4 linked regions of the Rhinolophus ferrumequinum genome follow. The main gene of each other region encodes a partner of the protein of the gene in region 3 in a complex. Links are inferred from orthologs where the notes say so. Each region holds a gene or a part of one and is shown on either strand. Other genes may lie near its edges.

Region 1 (7,900 bases), on a different chromosome or scaffold from region 3:
TGGAGTTACTAAAAAGTGATTAAATTCAATTCCTTTTTAATTTAGTTCATACTAAGTGGTAGGTACTTCATGGGACATCAAAACAATTCCGTCTCCGCAGAAGTCATTTCCATTCTGAGTGCAGTTAGAGGCTGTATGTGGTATGACTAAGGCTTCCAATACTACAGTCCACAAATCCCATGTGAATTCCCCATCAGCTTAAGATCTCCCACTGCTTGACTTTGTGGCACAAAATGGCATTGGGCCATTAGTTATGATTAACAAAGTCACGTAGTACTTTTGGGAAAGTAGAAATGGGCAGTAATTAAGAACTCAACTCATTTCAGCAGTAGTCTGGTTTGATCAGTCCGAGAATATTTTTCTGGTTCTTGTTTCTGAGTTGGGCTGAGAAGGTGACCTAGCTGTGAGCTAGGTCAAGGCACATCGCTCAAGAGTCTAATCCTCCTCCTACCATGCCATTGTTCCTTAATGTGCTTTGTATCCCACCGTATGTGTTTGCCGTCCTATTTTAATCAGTGGGGAAATGGACCATATAACTAATTCAGTCCTAAGGCTTTGTTTATCCTCTGTTACAGAAGTAAATTTTTAGTGGAACGATTTAGTATGGAGAAACATTTCCAGTACCATAATTGGATTATACCATGGGGACTTGCTGTTACATTATAAATCACTTCCTCTGAAACTTAACATCCACTCAGCTTAGATTGCTGCATCGTTTTGTCCTGCTTTGCAAAAGGACTAATTTGACTGTAAAGAGGGAGAAGGAATGAGTATTAGTATTACTAAAGGGTCCTCAAACAGTCGTTCATTTATTTCAGGAACCCCATTTTGGCTGTTTTCTCAATGGATCCTTTTCATCTCAGCCACCACCACCCTCCGCTAAGCAACTGTCACCTCAACCCTAGGCTGTTAACTGAAATCTTAAGAGATAATCCCTTCTCTACTCTTGCTGTGGGGTCTTGCACATACTTTTCTCCCTGCCTTCAAAGCACTGTCCCCCTCTCACAGCCTCCTGATCCCTTCACCCTTAGGTTTCTGCTCAATTGTCACTTTCTCAAGGGAACCTCCCTGAGCTCCCTAAAGGGGTAAATTCTGCCCGTTATAGAACCACATAGCACCATGTGATCTCCTTCAAAGGACTTGATTTGTAAAATTTACATTTAATCGATACCTGTTCTTTCATTAGATAGTAAGCTGCATGAAGACGAGGGTCTTTACTATTATTATTCGCTGACCCAGTGCCTAGCACAGGGCCTGGGACGAAGGTGTTCAGTAGATATTTGTTGAATAGATGAATGTAGATGTTAACTACTATTAGATTGAAAGTCCGTAGGTAAAGATAAAGCTGAGGTTAGGTGGTGCCTACCAGACCAATTAGTCAAATAAAACTGATTTCTAAGTTAGATACATTTGCCGTCTGAGGAACTGTGGGGAAGAATTAAGGTACTTTTCTCTGTAGCATCCTCCTGGTAAAAATCTGAAAAACATTCCAAATAAGCATTAAACAGCATGAGGATCTTGTATATTGCCACCATTGTTTTCCAACAAAATAAAATAGTAAGTGATTTTTTCCTATGTTCCCCCCAAAATATTAAAGATAAAAATGGAAATGTTATGGCTGTTCACCATATAATTTCATATATTATGTTTTACTTTTTTGTTCTCTAATTGTTGCAAATATGTTTTGTGTCTTCAGTTGGACTGAAAATTTACTAAGGCTATGCTTTATACCAGTGGTTCTTAATTTTGGCGATATTGCTGCTCAGGGGACATTGGTAATGTCTGGAGACATTTTTGCTTGTCACAATGGGGAGAGGGGTTATGCTACTGTCACCTGGTGGATAGAATCCAGAGATACTGCCAAACATTATACAATGCACAGGACAACCTGCTCCCCTCATAAAGCATTATCTGGCCCAAAATATCAGTAGTACCAAGGTTGAGAAGCTCTCTTTTATAGTTCTCTGTAATACTGGGATAAGGAAGGCACTAAATTAATGGCCTTTAGAGAGGATACACACACACAAACGTGTATATATGTGTGTGTGTGTGTATACATATATATACACACACACACATATATATAGGATATATATATATATACACACACGTATGTATGTATACACAAACACATCTTCACTGTTGAGATCTTTGATTAATGAATAAAGTTTTTATAATAATTGGCTCATAAAACAATCATTGACTCTTTGGAAAGAGGAAAGGAACAAATGGGACATCTACTATTTTTTATTTAGCAATTGTTGATCTGGATCCTCCCTACGTTCAACTTTTTGAAAAACATTGGTTGAACATTTATAGTGATCCTCTCATCCACAGCAAAGATTCATTAGCAGCCATTTGGTCCAATGACCTCACTTCTCTAGGTTAGAGAAGGGCACCTGCCCCAAACTTGGCCAGTGAGAAATTCTTTTTCTGGTGCCTTAAGCTATCCTCATGTCCTTAGAACAGATTTTCCTTTTTATGCTTAAGCTAGCTTGGGATAGTTTCTGTTACTTTCAAGCCAAGAAGCTTTAACCAACACAACTACTCTAGGGGTGACTGTAAAATTCATCTCTAGGGGGAAGACTGCCCTTTTGGGAAAAAAAAAACAGTTTAATGGGTCTTCTGGGTATATGAAAGTAAAGCAGAAATTCATTCTGGAATGAAGAAGCTCAGAACAGTCACGAACAACTGTAATGCACCATGAGGCAAAAGGATGACAGCATGGTGGGCTAGGCGGCATCTTTGCTTTATTGTTTTTGTTTTTGGCAGGGGCTCTGTATTTTCATTGATTTGACCCTGTGACAGAAAGAGTTGGGACTCTGGGAAAGGCAAGAGAGAATAAAGGAGGTTTTTATTCTGTCAAGGTGAGTTTGCCCATAAAACTGGGTAACTGAGTAGAGGATCCCCAATGAAGGGACCTGACCAAAGAATTCCAACAGTGAATTATGCTATTTAGTTTTAAGATTTTTCTTGGAAGCTTAAGCTTCCATTCAAAAAATTTTTAAACGTGGCAACCGAGTCTTAGCCATGCTTTGGGAAAATAAAGAAGGACCTGTGTTCAAGCTTATGGAGAACATAATGCTGGGAGTGTATATTGGCACAACTTTGGAAAGCTCTTTGTTTCTTATATACCCTCCAAGCCTACAATTGTACCCTAAAAATACTCTTGCACACATGGTTCAGGAGATTGTACAAGAGTATTCATAGCAATGTACATAATGGGAGAGGGGAGAAAGAAAACAATTGAAATGTTGGTGATAGGAAAATGGTGATATAATTCATGGTATAGTCATATAATGGAATGTCATATGGCAGAGAAAATGAAATATAACTACATATGACAGATGGATTCTAGAAACTATTAATTGAAAACTAGTATAATATAGCATGGAAATAATTTTATCAAATTAAAAACCAAGCAAAAGTAAATAGTATATTGTTTAGGACTATATGGTAATTACATAAAGACAAGTTTAAATTATTTTTTAAATCGGAGTAGTGATTACTTTTGGGAAGAAGCAGGGAGACGGTGGGATTTGGGAGCACACAGGAAGCTTCAATAATACAGGTTAATGTTATTTCATACATTGGGTGGTACATCACAGGTTTTCATTTTATTGTGTTTTTAAGTTTACATTAACATTCTTTTATACATGACAGACTTTAAAAATGAAAGAATAAAGTAATTGTCAAATTGCTTGGCAGTACAGGTTAAACTTCTATTGACAGTGTATGAGAGTGTCAATGAACTGTGATTTAATTTTTTTTTTCCTCTGAGGGTGGAGGGGAAGAGATGCCTCCTTAAACTGCTGTCTTGAAGCATCTTTGTGATCTAGGCTGCAATTTCCTCTACTCCTGGGATGATGATGATGATGGTTACCCAACATTCCACAGGAACTCTCAAGCAGTGAGGGAAGAAATAGTGGAACCATATGGAGACAGGAGAAAGACAGTTACTGATTTTATACCATTTTATACCATTGCAAAACAGAAGAGTGCTTTATATTTAACAAGTTGTTATAGCTGGGATAATGTATTTTTTGATAGTTCTGTACAGAGGTTGAAACATTTTCCCCTCTTAGAAATTGAGGGGAGGGGCAGTCCCTCTTTCCTTCTGCCTCCCCAGCACCCATGCCTTGCCACGTGCTGTTCCCTATGCCTGGAACACCCTTCCCTGCTTTGTTGGTCTGGCTCCTAATTTTAAGTTCAAGGGTTAACGCCTCTTTGGAAACTGCCTCCTCTATTTTATTTCTCATCCCAGCAGCACCACAGCTCTGAGGTTTTTTAGGTAAGTCCCTTGTCTAAGTCTGTTTCCGTGAGGATAAGATAATCTTGGGTGTCTGTGAAGATAGTGCAGTGGGTACAGAGCCCCAGATTCTGGGTCGAGCAGCCTAGTTCGAATCCCCAGTCCGCCCCATCTCTCTGAGGGTTTGGGTTAATCACAGAGCTTCAGTTTGTTCAGTTTGATTGAGGGATCCTTTGAATCCAAAAAGTAACTACTCGAGGAACTCAGCTACCGCTTAGCACCTCCCGGTGTCCCGCCCTTTTTTTGGGATCCTCAGAATTGGACAGAGCCAGCCCGACGGACCGCTCCTCTCCCAGGGCGGACTTGGGCCGCTCTAGGCCCCACACCTCACTCAGTGGAGGCAGTCCTCCAAATAGGAGAAGGGACCAAATAGGGATGGGGGAAGAAAACGTTTGCGGCGCTCTAGCCTTCGAGTTCCCTACGCTCTCCACACGTGGGCTTCCTGATTGGCTGAAGGCCGCTTCCGGGACAGAGGCGGTACTAGGACGAGAACGACTTCCGGTCGCGAGGTGAGGTTGTCGCACTTATCAGGCCCAATGGCGGCCCCAGTACTTCACACGCGGTTGCCCGGGGATGCGGCCGCTTCGGCCTCTGCGGTCAAGACGTTGGGGTCATCGAGAACTGGGTAAGACTCCGAGTCGCTTCTTCTGCGCGGCTGGGACGAAAGGCCAGGACCGGGATTAGAGAAGCGGATCTTACAGAGCCTGGGACAGCGCTAATGGAGTGGGGTGGGAGCAGAGGGTAGAGGGTCGTCTCAGGTTCTGAAGAGTAAGCCCGTGCCCCTTAAGTGGATACCAAAGGTGAGAAAGGATCTGGAGAAATGAATCTGTTCTGTGTTCCAGAGTCCCCTTTTTCTCCCCACTGGGGTCCTTCATGGCGTCCCAGGCCTGGGTTCTGCATTCTGCTCCTTTACTCTTCCCTCCCGCTTCTTCGTCTAGATTGGGAAAGAATTCTCCGGGCTATTTGGATTATTTATCAGCCGAATGCTATCACTGATGGCAAATTGAATCTTAACTGTTTTTGTTTGAAATTTGCTCCGACACGCTTTTTTTTTTTTTTTTTTTTTTTTTTTTTTAGCTTGTTCAACTTTAAAGCCCCTAACCCCCATAAAACACTGGGGCTTAACTTTGAGTCATTAGTAGGATGGCATTCATTTTTTCCTCCTAATCTGCTCTATTTAAAAGAAGCAAACTATGTAAAACACTTAGCATAATATGTTTCATAGTATTTATTAAGTGCCTACCTATTGTGTTAGACACTGGAGACAGTAATTTATCTAAAGACACAACGTTCTAAGTGAGGCAGGAAACTTGGAGAGTTTAATCAAGAGAGCAGATATTTAATAACAGCATGATCTGTTCTAAGTTTCTGAAAGATCATTAGATCTCTGAGTGGAGTTCTAATAGGAGAGAGAGGCGTTACTAGAAGGAGCACATGAGGTTTGGTGTGTTGCCCCCCTGCCCCCCCCAACCCCCTGCCCATCCTCGCCAGCTTTATTGAGATAATTGATATATTGAGGTTTGGTTTTTGTTTGTGAGGATTGTTGGGGGATAAGAGTGGAAGCAGGGAGGCCAGTTAAGAGGCTTTAGAGTTGTCCCACTGAATGATAATGGTTCAAAAATGTTGACTATTACGATTTTTATCATCCTCTGTCATACATTTAATAGCTTGATAATCTTGGTTGTACAGGATTTCAGATATGCTTACATTAGAGAGTGATTTCTTCAACTCTCCCCCAAGAAAAACTGTTCGGTTTGGTGGAACTGTAACAGAAGTCTTGCTGAAGTACAAAAAGGTAAGAGTAGATAATATGTGAGGTTTGGTGTTTTCCCCCCAGCTTTATTGAGATATAATTGACATACTGAGGTTCATTTTTGTCAGAATACAATTATAGGTCTTATACCAAAGATGAGTTGACATAATAAGATGAATTTTTAGATACCCATCTTGAAATCAGATATTTAATAACAGCATGATGCTGTCAGCTCAAATTCAGAATAATAACCTCTTTGCTGAAGTTACACCTATTCAGCTGCTTCATTTATATGGTATCTTTAAAAAACTTCAGCAAATGCTAGACTCAAGAACCATTAGATCACAGCATTTTATTTCTTAAGGAATTAGCTAAGTATTAACTTTGGGACAATAAACCAGCTCTATTAATATGGATTTTTGGGGGGGGGTTTGTGTTAGCTTAGAAGTGATTCTTGTAAATCTCAGTAATGGAGGAAAACTGCGAATGACTTATTGTATTTAAATTGAGTCATAATTGACATGTGACTATTTTATGTCATATGCATTTATATTCATACATGTGAGTGGATAATATCTTGAAGTACCGACAATCATATTCAAATGTCAGTGCACAAGTATACTGAAATATAAATGCTTTTTAATTGTCATTTGCTTTTTTCCAAGTCCCCTAACTCCACTAACATGGGTTTTTAAATTTTGTAGTCGATGATTTTACAATCCACAATTGATGTGTGGAAGTTACAGTGTCCCTATTGTAATTTTATCAGATGTTAGGCATAGTTAAAAGTCCTGCTGTTGATCTTTAACCGGAAACCACAGCAAGTAAAACTTCATTTTTCCCCTTTTCTTGTTAAGGGTGAAACAAATGACTATGAGTTATTGAAGAACCAGTTGTCAGATCCAGACATAAAGGTAATTAATTTTGTGTTTGATCATTACCAAACTAACAGCTGTTAGTTTGCACTTTTGTTTGATCCTATGCCATCCTTTAGAACTTACTCTCTCTCTCTGATCCATTCTTACTTTAACCTAGTGGTTCTCAACCAGGGGCAGTTCTGACCCCTTTTATTTGGTGATAAACTGGAGACATTTTTGGTTGTCACAACAGGAGGAACGGACGTGTGTTACTGGCGTGTAATGAGTAGATGACAAGGGTGCTGTTTAAATAAAATTCTCCACAACAATGAATTATCAAGTCCAAAATGTCAGTAGCCTCAAAGTTGGGAAAGCCGGCAACTCTCATGTTTCTCCAATGCTAAAACAGTAAAACAGATAAACAACAAAACATGACTTGTCTTTCAAGTCACTGTTTCATTGTTTCAGACTTTAAGATACAGTATATACCTGTCTTGTAAAAACAACTCAGTATACTTTGTTTCCCTTTTCTTCCTTTATTGCCCCATTTTGGAAAGTCTGTTACCATACAGATTGTAATCAGATTGTGGGGGATAAAATCCCATCTCCACTGTTACCCAGTGTGTGAACTTGGTCAAGTTTTGTAACCTCTCTGCCTCTGTTTCCACTTTGTAAAACCAGAAAAACAATAGAAGTTTTAAGTAGAGGTTTTAAGAGAGTCCAGTGAGTTAACATATGAGAAGCCCTTAAACAGCCCCTCACTCAAAGCAAGGGCTTTTGCTAGTTGTTCCTGCCGACACGGTCCGGATTTTGGTTTCCCATTCATGGTTAAGTCCACTGCTGTAATTACTATGAGAAGATTACTAGTGATTTCTCCTGCTGATTTCAGTGGGCTTTTTTTTTCAAGCCTCATACTAATTCTTTGTAGCATTAGTGTTTGCTACAAACTTAGCATTCTATTAGTACATGCTACAAACTTAG
Region 2 (8,083 bases), on a different chromosome or scaffold from region 3:
CAGCAGGCCCTGCAGGCCCGACAGAGACCCTCGGGGACTGCCCCGTCTGTTCTCCCAAGTCTTCCTGTGCTTGAGCTGCCCCCAGTACCCTGACTCCAGCCCCCGCCCGGGGCCCACTGTCCCCCGCAGCCGCCGAAGCCAGGGGCTGCCCACCCCCCTCATTGTCCACCGAGCTGGGGGCAGGGGCTGGCTCCGAAGGGTCTTGGTCCAGGCTGGCAGAAGGACGCCAGGGCCTGGGCCGGGGGCTGATCTGCAATGAAGCGGCCAGACGGTGTCTCCTGCGGCCACTTTCTTCGGCGCCTGGGGCCGCTGAAGCCATGGCTGGACGTGAGGACCTGAGGGGACAGTGGGCCGATCTTAATCTTGCGCCGCCCGCGCCGTTTTACACGCGCCAGCTGGCTTCCGCGTGGGGATCACGCGGTGCATCCTACAGCACGTTGCAAGCTCCGCCCCCTCTTCGCTGCTGGCAATGAGAGCCCGCAGAGGTGTGGCAGACAGTGCTCTCAACCAATGGGAAGGCCAGTCTCCTGGACAGCTGAAGCTTGGATGTGGATAGAGTGGACATCCCACTTCAGGTGCAGAGCTTCGGGTGTGGTGATTGGAGAGGCGTGGGGCCTCTCCTAGCAGCCTCTTCGCCCTTAGGTGGTCCTGGGGAAGCGAAGACTAGGGAAGATGTCTGGGGACCCAAGTCCCGCATCTTATATGGCTTCCGCACAAGGATGCCCCAAGCCACAGCCATCACAGCAGCCCGCCCCTAGCCACTTAGCTGAGCTTGGGGATTCTCATCCAATAAATAAAAGTGTTCTCAATTGAAACAATCCCACGGCATAGTCAGGATTTACATTTAAAAACTGTAAACTGTACGCCTTCCTGAAGCCAACTGGAAGTGTTCCTTAGCCAAAATTAAATATTTGGCACCCTGTCCTTTTGTTCTTCAGAAGGGATTTTGAGTTGGTCATAAAAATACCACAAGACAGCCATTCTTTAAGATGAGGGAGTAGGAATGAAGGAGAAATAACAAAATTAAGATGAAATTAGGGATAAAGGCAATTTTCATATGGCCTGCTATGATGCAGAACACAATAGCATGAAGGGGGCCACAAATTTAACCGAGTCTTATAGGAGCCGGTGCTGGGGAAAACCCGACCAGTTACTCAGTTCACAGTCTCTAAGACGTGTCCCAGTGTTGCTGGAGATGCTACCTTTGGGTCTGACAACGCTGACCAGGATTGCTGCTGTGTGTGATCTGGGGCATATACGGAGCAGGTGGTGGAACCAGGACTGTTTAACTTGGAAAGAGTAGATGTGGGAGGAAGAGTAGATTCAACCTCCCAAACATTTCAAGGATTGGCAGCAGGAAGAACCATTCTGGTTTTGGGGTATAGTTCAAAGAGCAGAATTAGGCCCAGCACAGCAGTGTTCAGAAAGGGAATGATGGCGACCCATATCCACAAAGAGACTTGAACAGAGTTGCGAAACCCAGAAAGGTCACCAACAGGAAATTGCATGAACACATGGTGATATAGTCATACAATGGACTATTACTCAGTAATGAAAAAAAATAAAAAAAAGAAACTACTGCACAACATGGGTAAATCTCATGGGCATGTTAAATGTGATAAAAGACGAAGTGGAACTTTAAGCCAACATAATCAGTGAAGAGGAGCTATGGGAGGAGCTAGGGCTTCTGGAAGTTCTTGCACTCTATGTAATTGCAAGAATCCCACACATCAGAACCCTACAGGAAGAAGTCTATGTTTATGGTAAAGCTCCATAGTTCTAACTTCCCCTTCCATTAACTTCCTTTTCCCGTCTCTAAATACTCCTCCATCTTGGCATGCAGGCCAGAGTGTGCACATGGCTTGCCATACTCACATGCCCTGGGTTACAACCCTTCTTTTTCCCAAATCTTTTTTTGGTGATGAGACACCTAGTCATATTATTTTTCAGTTGACAAATGAAAGAAGCCAGACTCAAAGGAGTACCTTCTGCATGATCTTATTTATGTAAAGTTCTTGAACCGGCAAAATTAATTTATGGTGGTAAGAGTCAGAATCGTGGTTACTTCTTGAAGGGGATATTGACTGGAAAGTGGCACCAAGGAATTTTCTGGAGAGATGGAAATATTCTCTGTCTTAAGCTAGGTAGTGGTTGTCTTAAGTTTACATGTATGTAAAAACTCAATGAGTTGTATACTTAAGACTTGTGCACTTTACTGCATGTTAAGTAATACGCAGTAACAAAAGGAAACATAACAGCTTGTTTAGAGAAAGGAAAGAAGGAAGAAATGGAATTGACCTCCCAGTGCAGAAGCTGGATGGGTGGCTCGTAAGAGTGGAAAGTGAAAGAATAGTTTCTCAAAGATGTCCAGGTCCTGATCCCCACGGTCTATTAATATGTTGCGTCATATGGCAAAGGGGAATTAAGGTTGCAGATGGAATTAAGGTTTCTAATCAGCTGAATTTAAGATAGGGCAATTATCCTGGATTATCTGGGTAGGTCCGTGTAATCACAAGCATCGTTTAATAGGGAAGACGGAGACAGAGAGTCAAAATCAGAAATGGCATCACCAGAAAGCCTCAACTGGCCATTGCTGGCTTTATAGACGGAAGGGGGCCATGAACCAAGGAATTCAGGCAACTATCAGAAGCTGGAAAAGGCAAACAGACAAACAAACAAACAAACAAAAAAACCTGGTTCTCCCTTAGAGCCTTCAGAAAGGAACACAGCCCTGCTAACACCTTGATTTTAGCCTAGTGAGACCCATTTCAGGCTTCTGACCTCCAGAACTGTATGATATTGGGTTGTTTTAAGCCACTCAATTTGTGGTAATTAGTTACAGCAGCAAAAGGAAACTAATATAGTCTTCAATTTTTTTGCATGCATACCCATAAAATAGTTTTTAAAAACTATCCCAAATATTTTAGTCACAAGTTTAAATAATTACAAAAGGAGCAATTTTTAACTTATTATTTATTATAATAATCCTTCCAGTATATTTTATCAAAACCATAGAGATGCAGACTGAGCCTATTTCATTTATGAAAAACGCTCTCCAAATGATCTAACTGGCAAAGCCTACTCTCATAGTCAAACCACTCACCTAAATCAGACTTACTCTTTGTTAGAAACAGTCTGACTTTGTTTATTCAACTTAAATAAATGTGTTGATATTTTCTCAGAAGAACCATCTCATTTCATTGATTCAAATATTTATCAAGCATCTACTCTTCTAGTTGTTTGGGATACACTGGTGACCAGCACAGACAGAAGAATTCCCACCCTCCTAGAGTGACTTCTAAATTCTATTTCTGAGATAGGTAGCTGGGAAAGCCCTTAGCCTAACCAAGAAGTTAACATCTCAATGAGATAGCATCACGGCCAGCAATATTTTCTTCTTTTCTTCTGTTTTTAAAAGACTCTTTAGTGAAGTATAACATAGTATGTACAGAAAAGTGCATAAATCTTTTGATGAATTTTCACACACTGAACATATCCATGTAACCAGTATTCAGATGAACAAACAAAATATTGTCAGCCCCCAAAATTCTCCTTCCTGCACCCGTCCATCATTACTTCTTACTGAACCTGCTTTTCTTAGTCTCACAGGGACTCTCTTGCAGGAAAGCAACTTTTTGGAATCGCCCTCCTTGTTCAGTGCCCATCTTGGGCAGTACTACAAAGTGGGGAAAAAAGTAATCGTGAAAGGGGAGATGCAAAAAGGGAATCATCTGATTCCAAACATCTCCCAGATAAAAACTATTAATATACTATAGATGTAAGCCAAGATTCTGGAAATTGATTCTTTAAATGGTTCTCAAAGTGTGGTGCCTGGACCAGAAGCGTGAGCATCACCTGGGAACTCATTAAAAATGCAAATTCTTGGATCCATCCCAGATCTACAAAACTGGAAACTCTGGGGTGGGGCCCAACAAGCTGTTTTAACAAGACCTCCAGGAGATTCTGATACATGATCAAGTTTGAGAGCTACTACCGTGCTTCCCCGAAAATAAGACCTAGCTGGACAATCAGCTCTAATGCGTCTTTTGGAGCAAAAATTATAGTAAAATAAGTAAAATATAGTAAAATAAGTAAAATTTATAGTAAAATAAATACTTATTTATAGTAAAATAAGACCGGGTCTTATATAATATAAGGCCAGGTATAATTATAATATAATACTGGGTATAATATAATACAATATAATACTGGGTCTTATATTAAACTTGGCCCCTAAGCAAGCAGAATCATCATCTGGGAACTTAGGAACTCAAATTATGAGGTCCTACCCCAGCCTCCCTGAATCAGGAACTATGTTCTAACATGTCCTCCAGGTGATGTTGATGCACGCCATAATTTGAGAATCAATGCCTAAAGCTATACTTGCCTGACCATTGGGGAAAACTCATGCATCCCCAGAGTTATCTGTACACCTATATGTAAAGCCTACTTCATAGGATATAAGGACATAGGATATAAGGAATCATTAGGATTCCTACTGACTAATACAGTGCCTCATCGTGGGTGCCCAGAAAGTGTTTGCTGAGGGAATACATTTAATACTTAAAACAATCCTGCAAAATAGGACGTTAATTAAACAGAGGTGGAATTCGAACTCTCCTCAACGTGGCCTTCACTATCGGGACTTGAGGTTTTATTTCTACTGCCCACAGCACCACTTCCACTCCCATTCCCCCTCCTCCCGGAAGGTGGCGCTCTGGGGCGCCCGTAAGGCCAGGCTGGGAGGCGGGACTTCCTGCTTCGAGGGAGCACTTCCGGCTAGGTCCGGAAGACCGTTAATTACCGTTGTGAGGTTGATTCATCGGTGTTTGCTGGAGCTAGGGTGTTGCTTTGGGCTCCCTCGTGTCACGAGGGTCAGGCGAGCGTCACGTGGAGGTCCATGTCTCAGACGAGCTCCGCGAGGCCCGGGCCACGTAAGTGCGCGCGCCCTGCTGGACGGCAGGAAGAGGGGTGCCGGGGCCGAGAAGAAAGCTCGGGTCTGCTCTCCGCGCGAGTCCACGCTCCCCAAGCTGTCTGGTGTACAGCGTTTGATGAGAGTCCTTTGCTGTTGAAATTCTAGGGCCTGGAGGTGGGAGTTGGAAGAGATGAGTAGGGAGGACGTGGCCAAGTAGATGCATGAGGGGAGGGACCGTCCGGATCCCTTCACCCATCTCCTGCTACAGGCCCACTTCCTGCGAGTCCCGCGTGGCAGTAACGCGGCCTTGGAGGTCCGAGGAGGCCTGGAGAGCCTCAGGTGAGGCTGGGAAGTTGAGGTTGCCTTTTCTAGAGGCTTTCCTGAGGTCGCGGGCTCCACCAACACCCTCGGGCTGCCTGGGTTTGTTTGAGGCTGTTGGATTCTCAGGTTACCGGCGCCCGGTAACTTGTAACGGGTCCTTGCCCTTCTCGGAATAGAAATCAAGACAGTGGGCGAAAATTTTGCAGAGAGAAAGGTTTATTAAAGCGAGAGTTTGATGCACCACGGGAGCACACTCCAATAGAGAAGAGCATAGAGCTCACGGAGTTTACAGTCACAGCGGTTTTCATAGACTCTTGGGGCTGGAGGCCACTGCTTCCTCTTTCTCGTCTCCCTCCCCAAAGTATGTTGAAGTGGGTCCTACATGCACCTGTGCAGTGTACCTACGTGCTACTTCATGCTAGCATCTTAAGACTCTGCCTAGCAGAGTGCTTTTTCGTATTCGAATGAAGAAAAGTTAACTATAGGACAGCTCTTTTCACTAATGTGCATGTACAACTTTAGACGCTTTTCCTGAGCCTGCTTATCTCTCCTGTGATTATGGCTCTGTTTGCTCATTGTTGCTTATTGGCCAGGGGATGGGGCTCAAGGTTGTTCTCCCCAGGTACAGGCTCCGGCTATGTGAACCCCTGACTACCCTGTTGTTCATTCATCCCTGGATTTGTTCTTTCAGCTTACTGGTGCTGATTGTTACCGTGTAGCAAACACCAAGGCCCTGGGGATAAAATCCCTCTCCCGCTTTTTAATCAAACAGTGACATCTTTAATTATGTAATTACACGTTGCAGTGCGTGCTCTGGAGAAAGCATGCAGAGTATCGTGGGAGGATGGCGTTGAGGGAACTGGGAGAACTTCCTGACTGGAAATCTGAAGGATGATTTTGTCAAGTAGGATGTTGAGTAGGATTTTGTCGGTAGACCGGAAGGACCCTGGCAATCGCTTCAAGCAGAGCGACAGTGTGCAGAGACCCTGTGGTGAAAAGCCTGGTGAGGAAGAACCTAGAGGAGGTCAGTGTGATTGGAGCCCAGGAACCAGAGACAACCCAGAGACATGCTCACACTGATGTATCAGGGACGCAGCCGCCTCTGAGAGGGAGCTTTTTCACTGCCGTCGGTACAGTCCCTCCTATGGCAGCCAGTGTTTTTCACAAGGACTCACTGAGCATCTTCTTGATTCCTTCCACTGTTCTCTCTGGTCACGTTAAAGGGAATGACAGCAGCAGCCAGGCACCAATAACCCAGGAATGCATGAGATACAGACCCTGCCCTCAGAGGGCTTGCAGTCTAGCGGAAGAGATAAGACTATACCGCTGGGATGAGGCTGACTTGCTGGACAAGTTTGACAAGTAGTTACTGTGTGATGGACACTTGGCGTGGTCCTGAGGATACGTGGATGTACGGAGCTTACAGAATCAGCTGATAAAATGCAGCAGCGGTTCCACGGGAAAAGATTTGTGCATACGAAGACCCGAATGCTCGTGTTTGCTTTGGGATGCACAGGACAGTGGCGGTGCAGAAGTTGGACTGTGAATTGGATGGGGGAAGCTGCTGGCCTTGGGCAAGTGGCTCCTTCCTGAGCCACAATTTCCTAAACTCCAAAATAGGGAGACTAGAAGGCTAACACATGTCGTCCTGTGTTTGGCAGATGTTTACACTCAGTGAGTGAGCGCTGCTGTGATTTGTGCTGTTAGTAAAAAAGAAAAAGAGGGATGATGTGGCTACTTGTACTTCTAGAGCACTTTGTATGTAGCAAAGCCCTTTCACTGAACTTATTTTTATTCAACACATAATGTGTTTTCTGGAAGATACTATACTTGACAGTGGTTAAGACAGACAAATAAGACTCAGTGCCTGGCTTGGGGGAACTTGAGTTACTCCTGGGAGTGTAGCCTGGAGTGTAGGGCGCGTAGCTTACAAATACGTGATTATAATACCTAAGAGCTATGATGGAAGCTGACCCCTTGCCACCTGTCTTCATCCTTTGCCACTGGCCACTCTTCTTGTTCATTGGATGGCCTCCTACTTGTTTCCCAAACACTTCCTGCCCTAGGACTCTTGTACTTGCTGTTCATTCTGCCAGAAACCCTCTTCCCTGTTGTCTGTGGTTCTCTTCCTCGGTAGGTTCAGGCCATGCCAAAAGCCACCTTCTCAACAAGTCTTTCCCTGGCTTCCATGGCTAAAAGCACACCCTTGGCCTATCGCCATCCCCTCCCTCATGGTTGGTTGGTTGGTTTTAATACAGTACTTCCTAGTCTCTGGCAGTTGGCTACATACTCATTTGTTCTTCATTATCTGCTCCTTCAAAGAAGTATACTCCTCTGAGGGCACTTTTCACTCTGGAGGCTATTGGTCAGATTCAGGCCTTTGAGAATGCCAGTGTGACGTGTGGTTCTTATTTTCTAGGATGGATTTCCCCAGCTCCCTCCGCCCCACGTTGTTTATGACCGGCCCACTTGGTCTGAGCGATGTCCCTGACACGTCCTTCATGTGCAGCTGGAGAGATGCACTGACCTTGCCAGAGTCCCTGCCCCAGAACTCCGAGGTAAGGATGGCAGGGAGAGAGAGCCTTCACTTGGCCTTCTCTTTACTGGGTGTCACCTCGGGCAAGTGACAGCTTCCCTGTGTCTGCATTTCTTCATCAGTAAAGTGACGATGACTGTTGTATCAACTCGGCAGGCTCCTTGTGAGGGTTGAATGAGTTAATAAAAGACAAGTGCTGGCGACGACACCTGTCCCAGAAGCATTGTTGTCATGGTTGTGTTTTCCACAGAATAGGGTGCTGCCCTTGGCCAAGGGCCTGTTCTGGGAGCCAGACACCCCTGGGCCCCTTC
Region 3 (7,348 bases):
TGTAAAAAAAAAAAAAAAAAAAAATTAAATAATTTTTTAATTTACATTAGCACTGAAATAATAAAATACTAAAGTATAAAGCTAACAAAATATGTATAAGAACAATGTGAGGAAAACTACAAAACTGATGAAAGATATCAAGGAAGAGCTAAATAAATGGAGAGAGTTCCATGTTCATTGCTAGGAAAACTCAATATTGTCAAGATACCAGCTCTTGCCATTTTCATCTATAGATTCAAAGCAATCTCAATAAAAAATCCCATCATGGGGCCGGCTTGGTGACTCAGGCTGTTAGAGCTCCATGCTCCTAACTCCGAAGACTGCCGGTTCGATTCCCACATGGGCCAGTGGGCTCTCAACCACAAGGTTGCCAGTTGGACTCCCCCGCAAGGGATGGTGGGCTGTGCCCCCTGCAACTAGAAATGGCAACTGGACCTGGGGCTAAGCTGCGTTCTCCACAACTAAGACTGAAAGGACAACAATTTGAAGCTGAACGGCACCCTCCACAACTAAGATTGAAAGGACAACAACTTGCCTTGGAAAAAAGGCCTGGAAGTGCACAGTTCCCCAGTAAAGTCCTGTTCCCTTTCCCCAAAAAATCTTAAAAAAAAAAAAAAAGTCCCATCACGTTGTTTTATGGATAGCAATAAATTGATTCTAAAGTTTATGTGCAGTGGCAAAAGACCCAGAATAGCCAATACAATATTGAAGAAGAACAAAGTTGGAGGACTGACACTACTCAACTTCAAGACATATGTTAAAGCTACAGTAATCAAGATAGTGTGGTATTGACGAAAGAATGGACAAAGAGAACAATGGAACGTAATAGAGAGCCCAGAAATAGACCCACATTAATACAGTCAACTGATCTTCGACAAAGGAACAAACGCCATACAATGGAGCAAAGAAAATTGTTTTTCAACAAATGGTGCTGAAACAACTGGACATGCTCGTGCAAAAAAATAAAGTAAAATAAACAAAGATCTTATATCCTTCACACACACACAAAAACTAACTCAAAATGGATCACAGACCTAAATGTAAATCACAAAACTATAAAACTCCTAGAAGATAACATAGAAGAAAACCTAACACGTTTCCCCGAAAATAAGACTGGGTCTTATACCATATTTCCCTGAAAATAAGACTGGGTCTTATATTAATTTTTGCTCCAAAAGACACATTAGGGCATATTTTCAGGGGATGTCTTATTTTTTCATGTACAACAATCTACATTTATTCAAATACAGTCACGTCATCTTCTGGAACATCGTTATGACATACTAAATGTGTCCGTTTGGCTGACAATCTTAACTGGGGCTTATTTTCAGGGTAGGTCTTATTTTAAGGGAAATACAGAAGGTGACCTTGGGTGTGGCGATGACTTTTTAGATACAACACCAGGAGCATGAAAGATATAATTGATAAACTGGACTTCATTAAAATAAAAAAGTTCTTCTTTGTGAAAGATACTATCAAGAGAATGAGAAGACAAGCCACAGACTGGTAAAAAATATTTGCAAATTAAAACAATGAGATATCACTACACAATTATTCTAATGGCCAAAATCCAAAAACACTGGCAATATCTATTAATGTCTAATATAGGCACTTACATCCTAATCCAAGAATTCCATTCCTGGAAATATACCCAGGAGGAATGAATGCATATATACACCAAAAAGTATGCACAAGAATGTTTGAAGCAGCTTCATCCATAATAGTAAAAAACTGGAAACAACTCAAATACCCATTAGATATAAAAGAATAAATTGTGATATATTTATATAGTGGAATACTATATAGCAGTGAAAAGGAACAAACTATATGCATCATAAATTAATCTCAAACACAATGTTGAGCGAGAGGTCAGATGTAAAAGAGTACATACTGTATGATTCCATCCATGTACATGAACTCCAAAAATAGGCTAAACTTATTTATGGCAATAGAGCTCAGAATACTGGTGACATTTGGAGGGGAACATTGACTTTGAGTGGGCTTGCTAAATGCTAGAAATAGTCAACATCTTGATCTGGGTGGTGGTTACATGATGTGTGTGTGTGTGTGTGTGTGTGTGTGTGTGTGTGTAGAGAAAGAGAGACATATATGACATGTATACTATGTATACATATGTAAAAATTAATCAATACAATCACTTAAGATGTGTATATTTTATTATCTGTAAGTTCTACCTCAATTTAAAAAATAAAAATAAATAAATAAGGGATAGTAGCTTCCCTTCTGCCCATAAAAAAAAAGACCGGAAGAAGTCTGTATGTCACTATCTTAAATAAAAATTTAAAAACATTTCCAAGATACATTAAAACACATAACTTTGAAAATAATATATTCATCTGTACACCATCTAAAATTATTCCACAGACACTAGGATTTAAAGTACCACACTTGGGTTAACGCATTCCAGGCACACTAGGGGTTTTATATGACCTGGTGCTGGAATCCTGGCAACTCAGGGAAGGTCTGGGGCCGAGAAAGCTTGCAGCTAGGATTATGCCTTGTCACCAGCCTGGGCTGGGGTTGTGGAATGCTGAAGCTCTGCTCCAAGGCACAGGGCAGAAAACTGGAAGGGAGGGGAGGATGAATTGGGAGATGAGGCAAAGAAAAAGGACCAAGGGCAGATTCCCTCATGCTCTGGCCCAGAGCCCAAGTCCGAAGCTCTTGACCTCACCAGAGACACAATAGATGTAAAACAAGCCAATCAGTTTCCAAGTGGGAAGAGTGCCAGCCATGATTTTTGATGCCCAAGGAATGAAAAATCAATAATAATCATTCTTATGATTTACGTTCATCCTGTTTTATTCCAAAGCACTTTACCGAAAGGCTGTGTCCTGGCCAAGAAGTTCAGGGCCAGGAGCCAGGATACCTGGACTCCAGACCTGCATGTGGAGGACTTGGAACTTTCTTGGGGTCTAAGTTTCTCTTACTGTAATTGTGGCAAGTGACATTGTTGAGAATTTTACAGTTTTACATATATCATCTTGCTTGATTGTCCAACCCTGGTGAGGAAAGCAGAGAATGTAGGATTGCTATTCTAATTTTATAGATAAGGAAACTGGGATCAAGTGAGGTTAACAGATTTGATCAGATTCACAACACTATTAACAAGGTGGGGAAGCTGAGATGTTGGGAAGCTGGGACTTCTGACTCCAAATCTTTTGCTATTTCCCAGTCAAAACAAGAAAGTCAATCTTTGTGAGATGGCTTGATCCCACACAAAATACCCTGTGTATGTTCCAAGGGCACAGCTGGGTTTCTGGGGCTGAAACTTGTGAAAAAAAAAAAAAAAAAAAGCGGGCGGGCGGGGCAAGGGGGTCTCTAACAAAAGTACCGAGTGATGAGTCAAAATTAAGTACAGGGCCTTGGATGAGCCCTGCAAATGAGGAGCCCTAAAGCTTCAGCTCCATTAGCATTACGGTAAATCGGCCTCTCCTACAGGCCCTGCCCACTAAATAATCGGGACACACCAGATCTTGACAGGGTTTTCCTCCCTGTTTGTGAAACGTGGCAGATGTGGGCTGTGGAAGTCCTGGGAAAGGAATTTCATGTCTCCCAGGAGACAGAAGGAATTACAGCAGCAGTGAGGCCCTTCGTTGTGTGAGGATGGAGAAGGCTGTTTGCCAGGGGAGTCCAAAGGGGCTGGTGAACCAGCTGGCCGAGATATGGTCAGGAGCAGTGTTGGTGAGGTTGACTGGCGGCCGGGGAACACGAGCAATGGCGCTGCCCTGGGAGCGGTGGCCCAGCCAGTAGGCATGCCTGTTGGAAGCATTTTTCAGACAGTCTTCTGGCTCCCTGCGTCCCGATAAACCTTCCTCTGAGGAGGGAAGACAGAAAGAGACAACCACAGCCGACGGGAGTGGGAGAGTGGATCGTGGTCCCCGCCCAGACCTTTCAATTCCCGGGCCGCAGGATGCTGGACCGCGGGAGGCCTAGGCGGAGGCAGCCCCGCTGCGATTCTGGGCAGAGAGGCCCGGGTGCCAGGTTCCCCTCGCGGCTCCCTGCCGCTGGCGGGAGCGGGGAGCGGGGAGCGGGGGCGGGGGGACAGCGCCCGCGGCCTGCTTTCCCAGGGCTGGCCAAGGCTTTTTGACAAGCTGATTGCGTGGCGGGGATTGGCTGATCCTGGCGTGACGCCGGTTAACAACAAAGGTGGAGTTGGAAGAAATTAGATTAAAGGAGAGGGGGAAAAAAAAAATTAAAGGGGGAGCTGGCAGGGGACAGGAGGCAGAGACCGAGAGGGAGATGCACGCAGCGCGGTCTCCAGGCTCCGACTTTGCCGGGGAAGCCCCGTTCGAAAACCCACCGGGATTTTGCTTTCCACCCCCACCCCGGCCCAGCTACCGAAGCCGGGGTGCGAGGGATGGCTGCCGCTTCTAGAGAAATCCCAACTCCCACCCTGACACCCCTTGCTACGGCCCAGGGGGAGAACTTTTTGCTCGGACTCCTCGGATCCTAAAGCCGGCGGAGGTGAGGGGCATTGAGAACGACGAAAGACTCGCTCTAAAACCCGGAAGGCCCTCGCGGGGCACCGAGATCGGACCAGGCCGGGTGCTCCCCCAGTTTTTCAATGTGTTGCAAACCTAAGAGCTTTCTTTTTTTTTGTAATACCCCCCCTCCCATTGCTCTCCCCCCCTCCGCTTTGGCTTCAGGGTTGCAAAAGCAAAGAGCAATAAAAAAAAAAAATGCGCACACAGACACACACCAGTGGCGACAAGGGAGAGTTGGAAAGACGCAGGAGAGAAGCAGGAGGCGGCGGGGAGGGAGCAATGGGAGCGGGAATCAGGCAGGTTCCCTCGCAAATCCCCCTCCGGCCCCACGTCGCCTCGCCGGCCCCGGCAGGGGAGCGAGGAGCCAGGCGAGCAGATGGAGTGGAGCTCGCTCTAGGCAGCGGGCTTGGCCGGAGAATGGAGGAGCCGCCAAGCGACCGGCTGATTGGAAGAGAAACGCAGAGCGATGGAGGCGGGGGTAGGAGGACGATTTCTCTGCGGGGACTGGCGGCGGCGTACACGCCCGGGTCGGGCGCTGCAGAGCTTGGCTAGCTTTCAACCCGCGCTCGCCGGCTCCAGCCCCGCGAGCCCCCACCCCCAGCCCTCCCGGCGGCTCCGCAGGTGAGTGCGAGCTGGGGGCAAAAGACCCAAAAGTCTCAACACGCCCGCCCGGCCAACCAAAAAAAAAAAAGGAAAGAAAAGAAAAAGCATTTTTCTTTTCCTTTATTTTCGTGGATCCCCGAGCGCGGTGGGAGGGAAAGGGTGAGGCTGAGCCGCCCCGAGGAGGCGGAGGGGCCAGGAGAGGCCGTGGTGGCCGGGGAGGCGGCGGCGCCGAGGCGGCTCTGACGGGCGAGCGCTCGGAGCGGCGCCGCGCTGCGCCGAGGCGGGCGGGCGGGCGGGCGGAGCGGGGCGGGCGGAGCGCGGCGCGTGGGGCTCGCCATTAGCCGTCGCTCCGCTTCGCCATCTCGGGCTTTGTCTGGCGACTCACTGCCCCGGAGTCAGCTGCGGCGGAGCTACGGCTCGGCTTTTCGGCCCGCCGCACCCCTAGGTGCCCCTGGCCCGCGCTCCCATTCACACGCTGGGTAAGTGAGCCCCGGCGCCGCGATTTCGGGGGAGAAGGGTTGCTGCGAGTGGCGGCGGCGCCGATCTCCATGCGCCCAGGCAGGCCTGAGGAGTCATGCCGGGCTGGATTGAACCGGCCCCGAGGCTCCGCCGCCGGAGCCCGTCACCCCCTCGCCCTTTCCCAGGTGTAAGGAGCAAAGGGATTTTTTTTTTTTTAATTTGCAGGCAGGGCATTTTGTGGGGGTAAATTTTTTTTTTTTTAAGTTTCCTGTGTGTGCTGCTCGGTATCAAGGGGACCGCGAGGTAGGCGCCGAAGCCTTGCGCCGCGCGATCCGCGTGCGTGCGCCCCAAACCGGTGGCCGTGCTCCGGGAATGAGGGTGGACGCGGACCGTCCGTTCCGGGAGGCGGGAGAGGGGAGCGGGCGAAAGCTGGCGTGGAAGCCCGCATCTGAACTGGGAGGACTTAGGGGGAGAGCTCCGGAGCAGGGCCGTGGACACCCCCCGAGCCTCCCCGGCCGCCGGGAGGCCCTCCGGGCACCCTCTCTGCGGCCGCGCCTTGCGCCCTCCCTTCCGCGCCGGTCGAGCCTGCTAGTTCCCCCGCGGGTCTGGCGAGGTCGCTCTCGGCGCCCGCCCGCCTGCCTCGGCTCCGACCCCGCCGCCATCCGGGCGGCTGCGTGTCTCCCTGCCCCGGCCCCCCCCCTCCCCGGCGGCAGCAGCAGCCGCCACCGCCACCACCACCACTACCACCACCCCCCTCCCCTCCTTCCTTCCCTCCGCCTCGGCCGCCCGGGTCCCCCCAGCTCCCGCCCCTCCTCCCAGCTGCCCCCCGCGGAGCCCGCCCGGGCAGGCTGTGGGAGGGAGCGGAGCCGGCGAGGCGGGCGGGCTAGCGCTCGCTCCCCGGGGGTCGGTGTGCGCTCCACGGGGAAGGACGCGCTCGCTGCCCCGCTTCTCCCGCCCCCCCTCCCGCTCCTCCTCCTCCCTTCTCCCTCCTCCTCCTCCCCGCTCCGGCGGCGGAGGCTGCGGCGGCGGCGGGGGGTGTGCGAGCTGAGGCCGGGGCCGGCGGGCGGGCGGCGGGCGGGCTGCCTGCAGGCGGAGGGCGCTGTGCTTTGTGCTTTTCGCCGCGAGGAGCAGCAGGCAGCAGCCACAGCCGCCGCCGCCACAGCAGCAGCAGCAGCCGCCGCCCCAGCGCCGCCGCCGCGCCCGGAGGAGGAGCCGCTGCCGCCGCGGGAGGGAGCTGCGGCTGTGCCCGGCCGAGCGGGGGAGGGCGCCGCCGCTCAGAGCCGGGGAGGGAGCCGCCGGAGCGGGAAGCCCGGAGGCCGCGCTGCATCGGGTAACCCAGGCGGCTTGGGACGCGCGCCGGGGTCGGGGCCAGGAGGCAGGGAGCGAACCGCGGTTGCAGTGGACGCACGGAAAGGGCCCGGGTCGACCCCCGGACAGGGAACTGGGCGAGGGAGAACCAGGGCACTGGAGAGGACGCCGAGAGCCGGGGGAGGGGAGGGCAGGAAGCGAGGCCCGAGCGGAGCCCGGGCCGCGGGCGGAGAAGCCCGCGCTTCTCCGAGCCGGCAGGCGTAGTTCTCCACGGCCGCCGGAGGGGGCATCGGGGCCGGTGAGCGCTGCGCCCCCGCCTCCGGGCCGCCATCCTCCCGCCCTCTCCTTGGCTCGGCTCCCCGGAGGCCGGGGCGGGGGCGCCGGCGGGGCTGGGCCGCAAGCTCGAGGGAGGAGGCGGCGGTTCCCGCCGTGGTCGCGCCTCTGCGCCGGGTTCCTCCGTGCGCGTCGGGGTG
Region 4 (7,255 bases), on a different chromosome or scaffold from region 3:
GATGGGAGGGCAAAGGAGGTGCGGCCAAGGCAGGGCTGGGGCCTGGCCTGGCTGTGTACCTCCGATAGGTGCTGCAAAACAGCAGCCCACTCCCACGGCACAGGCAGCGGCCAGCATCTCTGTGTTCCGGGATTCGTTCTGGCCAGAGTGGTGGAAAGGGGTGTCAACATGGGCTCAGCAGCCCACGCCCTCCTCTGCCTTTCCCCAGGGTCCCCCTTACCTCATAGATGCCCCCGAAGAGGGAGAGGAACTTGCTGAGCAGGGCAGCACACATGCTTGCTATATGCACAAAAGGGCCCTGGGAGGTGGGGGCAGGCAGTGAGTGGGGAAGGGGCACAGCCCGACCCTGCCCTGGCTTCTTCCTCCACCAGGAGGGCCTCTTTCATTCCCCAACCTGCAGTTACCTCTTTGCCAAGGGGCATCCCGCTGCCCAGAGCACAGGTCAGCCCAATGACCTTTGCTACAAAGGTCTTGAGGGTGAGGTATTCCTTTAGCACCACACCCCGCAAGATGGTCTTCATCTCAGGGATGCCGGACCCTGGAGTGGGTACAGTCCCAGGAGAGTTATTTGATGTGCCCATTTCAGGGGGTTCCACCTCTGCCCTCCCCTCCTCTCCTACTGTACCAACAGCCTGAGGAGCCAGGATCTGTGTGAATCCCGCTGAGAATGTGATGAGGACGACAGGATAGGTGACCCAGGCCAGGTACTGGAGGAAGAGGCTGGTGTTCAAGCCCCGGGACATCCACTGCTGAGCTGTGGGGAGAGGACATGTTGCCAGACCCCTGGTGTGCATACCCAGTGCCCGCCTGGCCACTGGGACATACTGATATGATGCACTGTCCAGGGAATATCATACAGAACCTCGGTACGCGGAGCAGGGAGGCGGCCCTAGAGAGCCTTCACTGGGACAGAGATCATTGTAGGTAAGAGGGTCAGTTGGAGAGCGGAGGCAAGAAGTTGTGGCTTATGGAAGTGGCAGTGATTATGTCTGAAGATGGGCATTCAAGCTGGCCAAGGAGCCAAATACTTGGACAAGTGTGGCACAGAGGAAGCAGAATGGTGCTTCCCAGCCCTCCTGCTGCCAGCCCTTGTCCTCACCCTGCAGACAGGCAGCGATGGCATAATCCATGGCCCAGCTGACCAGTGCCATGAGGAGCCCCAGCAGGACCAGGAAGATCCAGTCTTCACCAACTCTGGACACTAGGAACTTATGACAGCGTACGGAACAGACTGGGAGCAGGAAGGGAAGAATGGTGGGCTGTCACCAAAGTGCTCCTACCCCTGTCCCCCCAGCTAGAATGGCCTCCATCCCCCTCAGCACAGTACAGCCAGATCCCCTGCCCCAACCCAGGTCTCACTGCGGCACCGGGCACAACGGCTCTGTCCATATTCCAGGAGCTCTGGGGGAACCCGCGGGGACAGTGGACCCCTCCAGGGCTCAGGCCCTCCTAGGCGGATCCGAGCAGCTTCCTCTTTGGCAAAGGCCCCGAGGTCCTGGGTATACCGGCCATACATCTGAGCAATGGGAAAGATGGGGGTTAGCAGACATGTGTGGGCTGAGGGGGATGCAGGGAGGGCCCCTGGAGCCTCAGCTCCCCTTCTCCCAGTCCCCACATTATATACCACCTCTTGAACCCACACTCCCCACTTTGGCTTGGGGTGTGGGAACAATGCACATTGCAGACTGTGGGGGCTGTCCTGGCCTGAGTGATGGGACAGCCAAGGTACAGGAACACAGCTCTAGGGGGTGGCAAAATAATCAGTCCTCTTCTCACTGAGGAGGAGTGGGAGGGAAGGCCCCAGAGGAGGAAAGATGGAAAAACCTAACACAGTCTGAAAGTGGGAGGAGGGAATGTCAGAGAATAAGGGATGGTCAAGGGCATATGGGTAACAATAAGGGCCTTAAGGAGCTGGGGGCAGCTGAGTTGGGCCTAGGAGCAGGCGGGGCCCCAATCCTTATCACGTTCCTGCCAGGCCTCTGGCCTGTGACCCACTCAGCTGCACCCCTCCCACCTACCCTAATCCCCTTGTTCCCATTCTCCACCCCCACCCCCCACCACTTTGCCAGCCCAGCTAGGAGTAGAAAGTCTCTCTGGGTAGGTGGACAGTACTTGGTGGCCTCAGTCCACTCTGGAGCTGCCCTGAGTCCAGTGGTGGGTGAGGGGGACAGAAGAAGCTGTGGCCAGGCTGTGACTGCGGATGCTGGGGTGATGGGGTGGGAGCGTCTCTGAGCCAAGGCTAGACCAGCCAAGCTGGGTGTGTGTTGGGGGGTGGGGAGTAGATTCCGGCTGCCACCCGCAGAGCTTCAGGACACAAGGGCTCCTGTTGGGACAGGGGGTGGGGAGGGAGGGAAAGATAGGGACAGAGAGAGAGAGAGAGAGAGAGAGAGAGAGAGAGCGAGCAAGGAAAGGGAAGAGAGGGAATCAGGGAGGAGAAAAGGAGGAAAGAGAGGCCAGGGGAAGGTGCAGGGAAGAAAGAGGAAGAAGGGAGGAGGAAGGGAGAGAAAGAAAGTGGAGTATAAAGAGGCAGATAAACACTGTTGGTTGGAGCTGGGAGGTGAGCCTGTGAGAGAAAGACAAAGGGATTGGGAGGAGAAGGGGGAGAGACCGGAGCAGAGAGTGCCCGGGCGAGAGCTTGACCCTGGGAACTCATTCCAGAGATAGAGACCCAGGCGAAGGAGATGGAGATGTGCTGGTGCAACAGATAGACACCATTTCAGAGCCAGGTGCCTGGCTTCCGTGACCAATGCCCCACTCTCAGCCTGTGCAGACGGACAGACACCTCCCCCCCATGTGAAGGCTTGCCCCTCTACCCTTGCTCCACCCCCACCCCTGCCACCTCTCCCTGTCATCCTGTTCCATCCAGTCACTCCCTCTCTTAACTGGGCAACTCCCAGCCTCAATTACAGCCCAGGCCCCCTCCTCCTGGAGAGGTTCCCTCCCAGACTCCTTCCTGGGCAAATTCCAGGACCAGCTGTTACAAAGGAGACACAGGGCCCACTCCCTTCCCAACAGTTTGGGTCCCCCACTCCAGTGACTACAAGAAGGGGCAAAAGTCTTCTCAAACACTAAGTTACAGTGGTGGCCATGAGTCAGCTCTGAGCCCCAGGACCCCTGCTTCTAAGGAGGTCAAGGCACACCCCTGGGGTGGGTGGGGGCTGGCTACTCAAGAGTGAGCGTGGACAAAGGTCCCAATTCCCACATCCATTCCTGCTTGACCCATCCTCCCTAAAGCTCCTGTCCCCTAGGGTGGCAGGCCACCTTTGTTCCAGGGAATAGACTGAGGGGTTCCTGCCAATGCTGGGTTGCCAGCCTGCAAAGGAAGGGCCTGGGTCTAGATTTGGGTCTGATCATCTTTCTGCATATAGAAACACTCCTGATGCCTAGCACAGTGAAATGCACTTACTGGAAACAGAGGGCATGTAATGGATGGTGGAGATAAGAACGTAAAGAGAGAAAGTTCAACAGTGTGAGCAGTGCTGGGGAGGAGTAGTGGGGTGCTGAGACGGCTCAGGTGGCGAGGGGGAGGAGCAAAGAAAACGTGGGGGGGAGGTAAAGGGAAGGACACCTGGAACAAGTACCTGATGTCCTTGTCCTATGCAGGTCCCCAGCCTCAGCCAGAAACCTGCATGCAGTTTTCCACCCCTTAGCCCTTCAGCCTCAGTTTCCCCAGCTCAGAAGGCTGGGGTGAGGTTTGGATAGGCCCCCGGTCCTCGCGCTTCCAAGGGTAACCCGAAGCAGCAGTTCTGGAGCGTACACTTCAGAGCTCGGCTCGGCTTCACTTACCAGGGTCTGCTCGTACTGCAGCGCCCGCGGCTCCATCCCTTCCTCTGCCGCGGCGGCCGGGGCGGCCGCCATCTCCGCGCACAGCCCTCGGGCCTCCCACTGCGGCTCGGGCTCCGGCCCGGACTCGGCTCCCAGCCCGCAGAGCCCGCACCCGTACCCGTCCGGTCCCCGCAGCCCGGGCGGCCAAGTGCAGAGAGCCTCACGCTCTCGTCCCCTCCTCCGCGGGCGGGCAGAGGGCGGTGTCCTTCGTGGTGCTCCGCCCGCCAGCCCATACACAGGGACCGGCCCAGCCTGGTGGGGGTCTGAGTTGGGGCGGCCTCCCGGGCTCGGGAGAGGCGGTAGGGGGCGCTAGGAATGCTGGAGCCGGCGCCCCCACTTCGCGGAGGCCTGAGGCTAAGACCCGGAGGTTCCGCTGGCACGTGCAGGGGCCCGGCGGTGTCTGCGGCCCTGGCGGGAGGAGCTGGAGACGCTGGGGCTCGGCTTGGGGCGGAGGACGGCAGAGCCGTCTAAATCAGACTCTCTTCGGGCCCAGTTTTCTCTCTAGAGTGGCTCTCTTGCTTCTCCCGAGGGGCCAGCGGCTCTGATGCGCCGCTGCTCCGCCCGGGGTGAGAAGCAAAGCTGCGGGGACTCGGAGGGGAACGCTAGGCCCGTGGAGGGGGGCCCTAGGGGGGTGTGGAATGCTCGGAGCTGAGACCCTCGGTCTCTCTCATCCTCTCCCTCCTTCCCCCCCCCCCCCCGCGGCTGCCCCAGGGAGGTGCACCTGGAGCAACCTGGCCTGCAGAGGGATGCGGGGGGCCAGGGGGCCGGTGATTGGAGGTAGGGAGGGAAAAAGTGAGCCTGAGGAAAGGGAGGTCTAGGTGCCGGAGAGGCGGCTCCTGGGAGGCGGGCGTGAGGGGACAGAGGTCGCTTCTCCCTGGCAGGGCCCAAGGAGAAACCCGAGTAGCTGCTGACGTCTCGCTGCCTGAGGGGAACGGCCTGTTGGGGCTCTGCGTTCTCTATCAGGGTCCAGAGAAGGATAGAGCAGAGGGTGGGGTGAGCACAGGGTGGATGGACTGTGTGTGTGAGATAGTGTCTGAGAACAGACAGTGTGCGGCAGGAGGCAGTACCAGGATGAAGGGGCATGTGGGAGGCAGAGGTGGTGCCCCGGAGGAGGGGGCACTGCCCACGAAGGGGTCAGTGAGAGGAGCCAGCTCTCTAGAGGAAGGGACTATGTAAGGGAAGAGTACCTGTGGGAGAGGACAGTGCCAGGATGAAAAGGCACATAGATCAGTGTCCAGAGGGAGAGGGCGTTGGTGGGTGAACGGGCGGTACCAAGCTGGAGGTACAGTGTTCAGGAGCGTAGCGTGTTGGGGTCAATACAAGGCTGAGAGGGCGGCGTGGGGGAAGAGAGCAGTGGGGGAGGGTGCGGTTCCAGGGGAAGGGACAGTGCAGGCTTTCCTCTTCCCCTTAGTGACATCATGGCAAATTCCCAAACTTGAAAGGACTCAGCTCAGGTGACATCCAGCTGGGCAGAGCCGGCCCGGGCCGGCCTGGGGGGCCTTAGTACCAGCTGGAGGGGTTGGGTACTGCGCCCTGCTGGGCCAGCGCTCTGGGGGCGGGGTTCTGCTCCGCCCTCCCTTGGCGCGGACTGTGCCCTCGGCGGGCACGCGGACCGGCAGGGTAGGGCTAGGGCCGGGCTCCTCTGGGCCAAGGATCAAGGTCCCTGGCTGGCGTAGGCCCCCAGGCATTCCAGTCTTCCCTACTGGGATTCTAAAGAGGGCGCAGTAGAGCTTCAGCAGAGAGTGAGAAAACGCGCCACCTCGGCCAGAGGTGGGACCTACCGTCATCCCGCCCTAGGGCGGAGTTATTTGAACTTGAGACCCGCCCTCAACACTGAAGCAATTGTTCGGGGCGGAAGTTAGGAAGCCCCGAGAGCCAGGCGACGGAAGTGGCCGTCTTACTGCTTGTCGGTGCGCATGCGTTGTTGTATTCTCTGACTGCTGCTTTTCAGGCGCTGCGTTTTCCCCTCTTCTTTCCTCCACGCGAGTGGGTGCACGTACTCTTAGTCGTGGTCGCGCGCTAAGCCCTTGTGCTGCTCTCGTGGCCCTTTCACCATGGCGGGCATCCTATTTGAGGATATTTTTGATGTAAAAGACATTGACCCGGAGGGCAAGAAGTTTGACCGAGGTAGGTAAGGTATGTAGGGCAGTTTGGGGTTAGGGGCTAACCTCGTCCTTGGGGACACGTCCCTGTGCCTTTGGTCCACCTAACTCACGTGGTCTGCCCCTAACGGCAGGTCCTGATGTACGACCTCTCTTAGAAAACGTTTTATAGATGAGAAAAGTGAAACTCCGAACTCTCTCTGGGTTCATACATGTTGTGCCCTCTTCCTGCGTGGCCTTTTCGCGTGGTGCTAGTAAACTCCTGGGCATCTTTCTAATCGCTACCCACTCTGTGCTAGGCGCTGTATGGTGCACCTTATACACATTTTGTCTTACTTATTCGTTTCAAGAGCCTCCATGAGTAGGTGGCGTCTCACCCTTTTTGCTCTAAGAGCTAGCTGCACAGCGAGTTATCCGACTCCGGAACCTATATTCTTGTATTGCCCTTAGAGTCTTTAGCTCTTTGTGAAGTCCTCTCTGATTTACAGTTGACTGCTTGGAAAAATAAAGAGTAGCTCTTTATTCTGTCATTGATCTATAATTGTTTCTGGTGTCTCTTCCTTTGCCTAGAGACTGAGATGTACTTCAAGACAACACCAGTTCTTACACTTCTGATAATCCCCTCTGCACAGCACCTGGCACAGAAAGACAAAACCTTTGGATGAATGAATAACTTTCCCAAAGTCAGGTTGTTTCTTAATCACCAAGGCAGGCTTAGAATCTGGATATTATTTATCGCCAGAGGACCTTTGATTCATTTCTGGGGATTATGCCCACTGGTCATAGTTTTCTCTCCTTATTGCCTGTTTGGTTCTAATTGAGCCTGAACTTCTGTGAGAGCAGATGAGAGGCCAGTGGAAGCACACTGTGTTAGATTGAGTGTTCTGTTGCATATGGTCCCCCAAAGTGGGGTCTGCAGGCAATTACCTCTGCCTCTCTTCCTCTGCTTCCCTCTAGTGTCTCGACTGCATTGTGAGAGTGAATCTTTCAAGATGGACCTTATCTTAGATGTAAACATTCAGATTTACCCTGTTGACTTGGGTAAGTATTGAACACAGACAATAGCAGAAGACTTTTTGTCATTTCAGCTGTTCTTCACCCTCAGATATTACCATTATTTTCAGGTGACAAGTTCCGATTGGTCATAGCCAGTACCTTGTATGAAGATGGTACGCTGGATGATGGTGAATACAACCCCACAGATGATAGACCTTCCAGGTGAGGGAGTGGAGAAGGGAGTATTTGAAATATGCCTGAGGATTAAGTAGATAAGTGGTATAGAAAGACCCTTATTTAATTCATGGAATAAATGATTATTAGCAGAATCT

Evidence for each region.
Region 1: UBTF (region 3) and RRN3 share a complex: the UniProt entries of both Homo sapiens proteins name them as parts of the pol I pre-initiation complex. The link is inferred for Rhinolophus ferrumequinum from reciprocal best matches to the Homo sapiens genes UBTF and RRN3.
Region 2: UBTF (region 3) and TAF1C share a complex: the UniProt entries of both Homo sapiens proteins name them as parts of the pol I pre-initiation complex. The link is inferred for Rhinolophus ferrumequinum from reciprocal best matches to the Homo sapiens genes UBTF and TAF1C.
Region 4: UBTF (region 3) and POLR2H share a complex: the UniProt entries of both Homo sapiens proteins name them as parts of the pol I pre-initiation complex. The link is inferred for Rhinolophus ferrumequinum from reciprocal best matches to the Homo sapiens genes UBTF and POLR2H.

The regions. Positions count from the first base shown.
Region 1 is NW_022680357.1:13,155,097-13,162,996, forward strand, and holds the start of RRN3 (RNA polymerase I-specific transcription initiation factor RRN3), read left to right. Parts: upstream 1-4,774; 5' UTR 4,775-4,845; coding exon 4,846-4,934; intron 4,935-5,998; coding exon 5,999-6,104; intron 6,105-6,919; coding exon 6,920-6,976; intron 6,977-7,900. UniProt on the Homo sapiens protein: Required for efficient transcription initiation by RNA polymerase I (Pol I). Required for the formation of the competent pre-initiation complex (PIC).
Region 2 is NC_046298.1:29,691,690-29,699,772, reverse strand, and holds the start of TAF1C (TATA box-binding protein-associated factor RNA polymerase I subunit C), read left to right. Parts: upstream 1-4,967; 5' UTR 4,968-5,132; coding exon 5,133-5,254; intron 5,255-7,655; coding exon 7,656-7,794; intron 7,795-8,022; coding exon 8,023-8,083. Other genes in the region: ADAD2 (adenosine deaminase domain-containing protein 2), read right to left, coding at 1-319. UniProt on the Homo sapiens protein: Component of the transcription factor SL1/TIF-IB complex, which is involved in the assembly of the PIC (pre-initiation complex) during RNA polymerase I-dependent transcription.
Region 3 is NC_046304.1:39,310,027-39,317,374, reverse strand, and holds the start of UBTF (nucleolar transcription factor 1), read left to right. Parts: upstream 1-4,227; 5' UTR 4,228-5,126; intron 5,127-5,404; exon of another isoform or gene 5,405-5,587; intron 5,588-6,675; exon of another isoform or gene 6,676-6,897; intron 6,898-7,006; exon of another isoform or gene 7,007-7,348. UniProt on the Homo sapiens protein: Recognizes the ribosomal RNA gene promoter and activates transcription mediated by RNA polymerase I (Pol I) through cooperative interactions with the transcription factor SL1/TIF-IB complex.
Region 4 is NC_046285.1:60,795,406-60,802,660, reverse strand, and holds the start of POLR2H (DNA-directed RNA polymerases I, II, and III subunit RPABC3), read left to right. Parts: upstream 1-4,166; 5' UTR 4,167-4,369; coding exon of another isoform or gene 4,370-4,391; intron 4,392-5,194; exon of another isoform or gene 5,195-5,776; 5' UTR 5,777-5,879; coding exon 5,880-5,952; exon of another isoform or gene 5,953-5,961; intron 5,962-6,884; coding exon 6,885-6,968; intron 6,969-7,051; coding exon 7,052-7,145; intron 7,146-7,255. UniProt on the Homo sapiens protein: DNA-dependent RNA polymerase catalyzes the transcription of DNA into RNA using the four ribonucleoside triphosphates as substrates.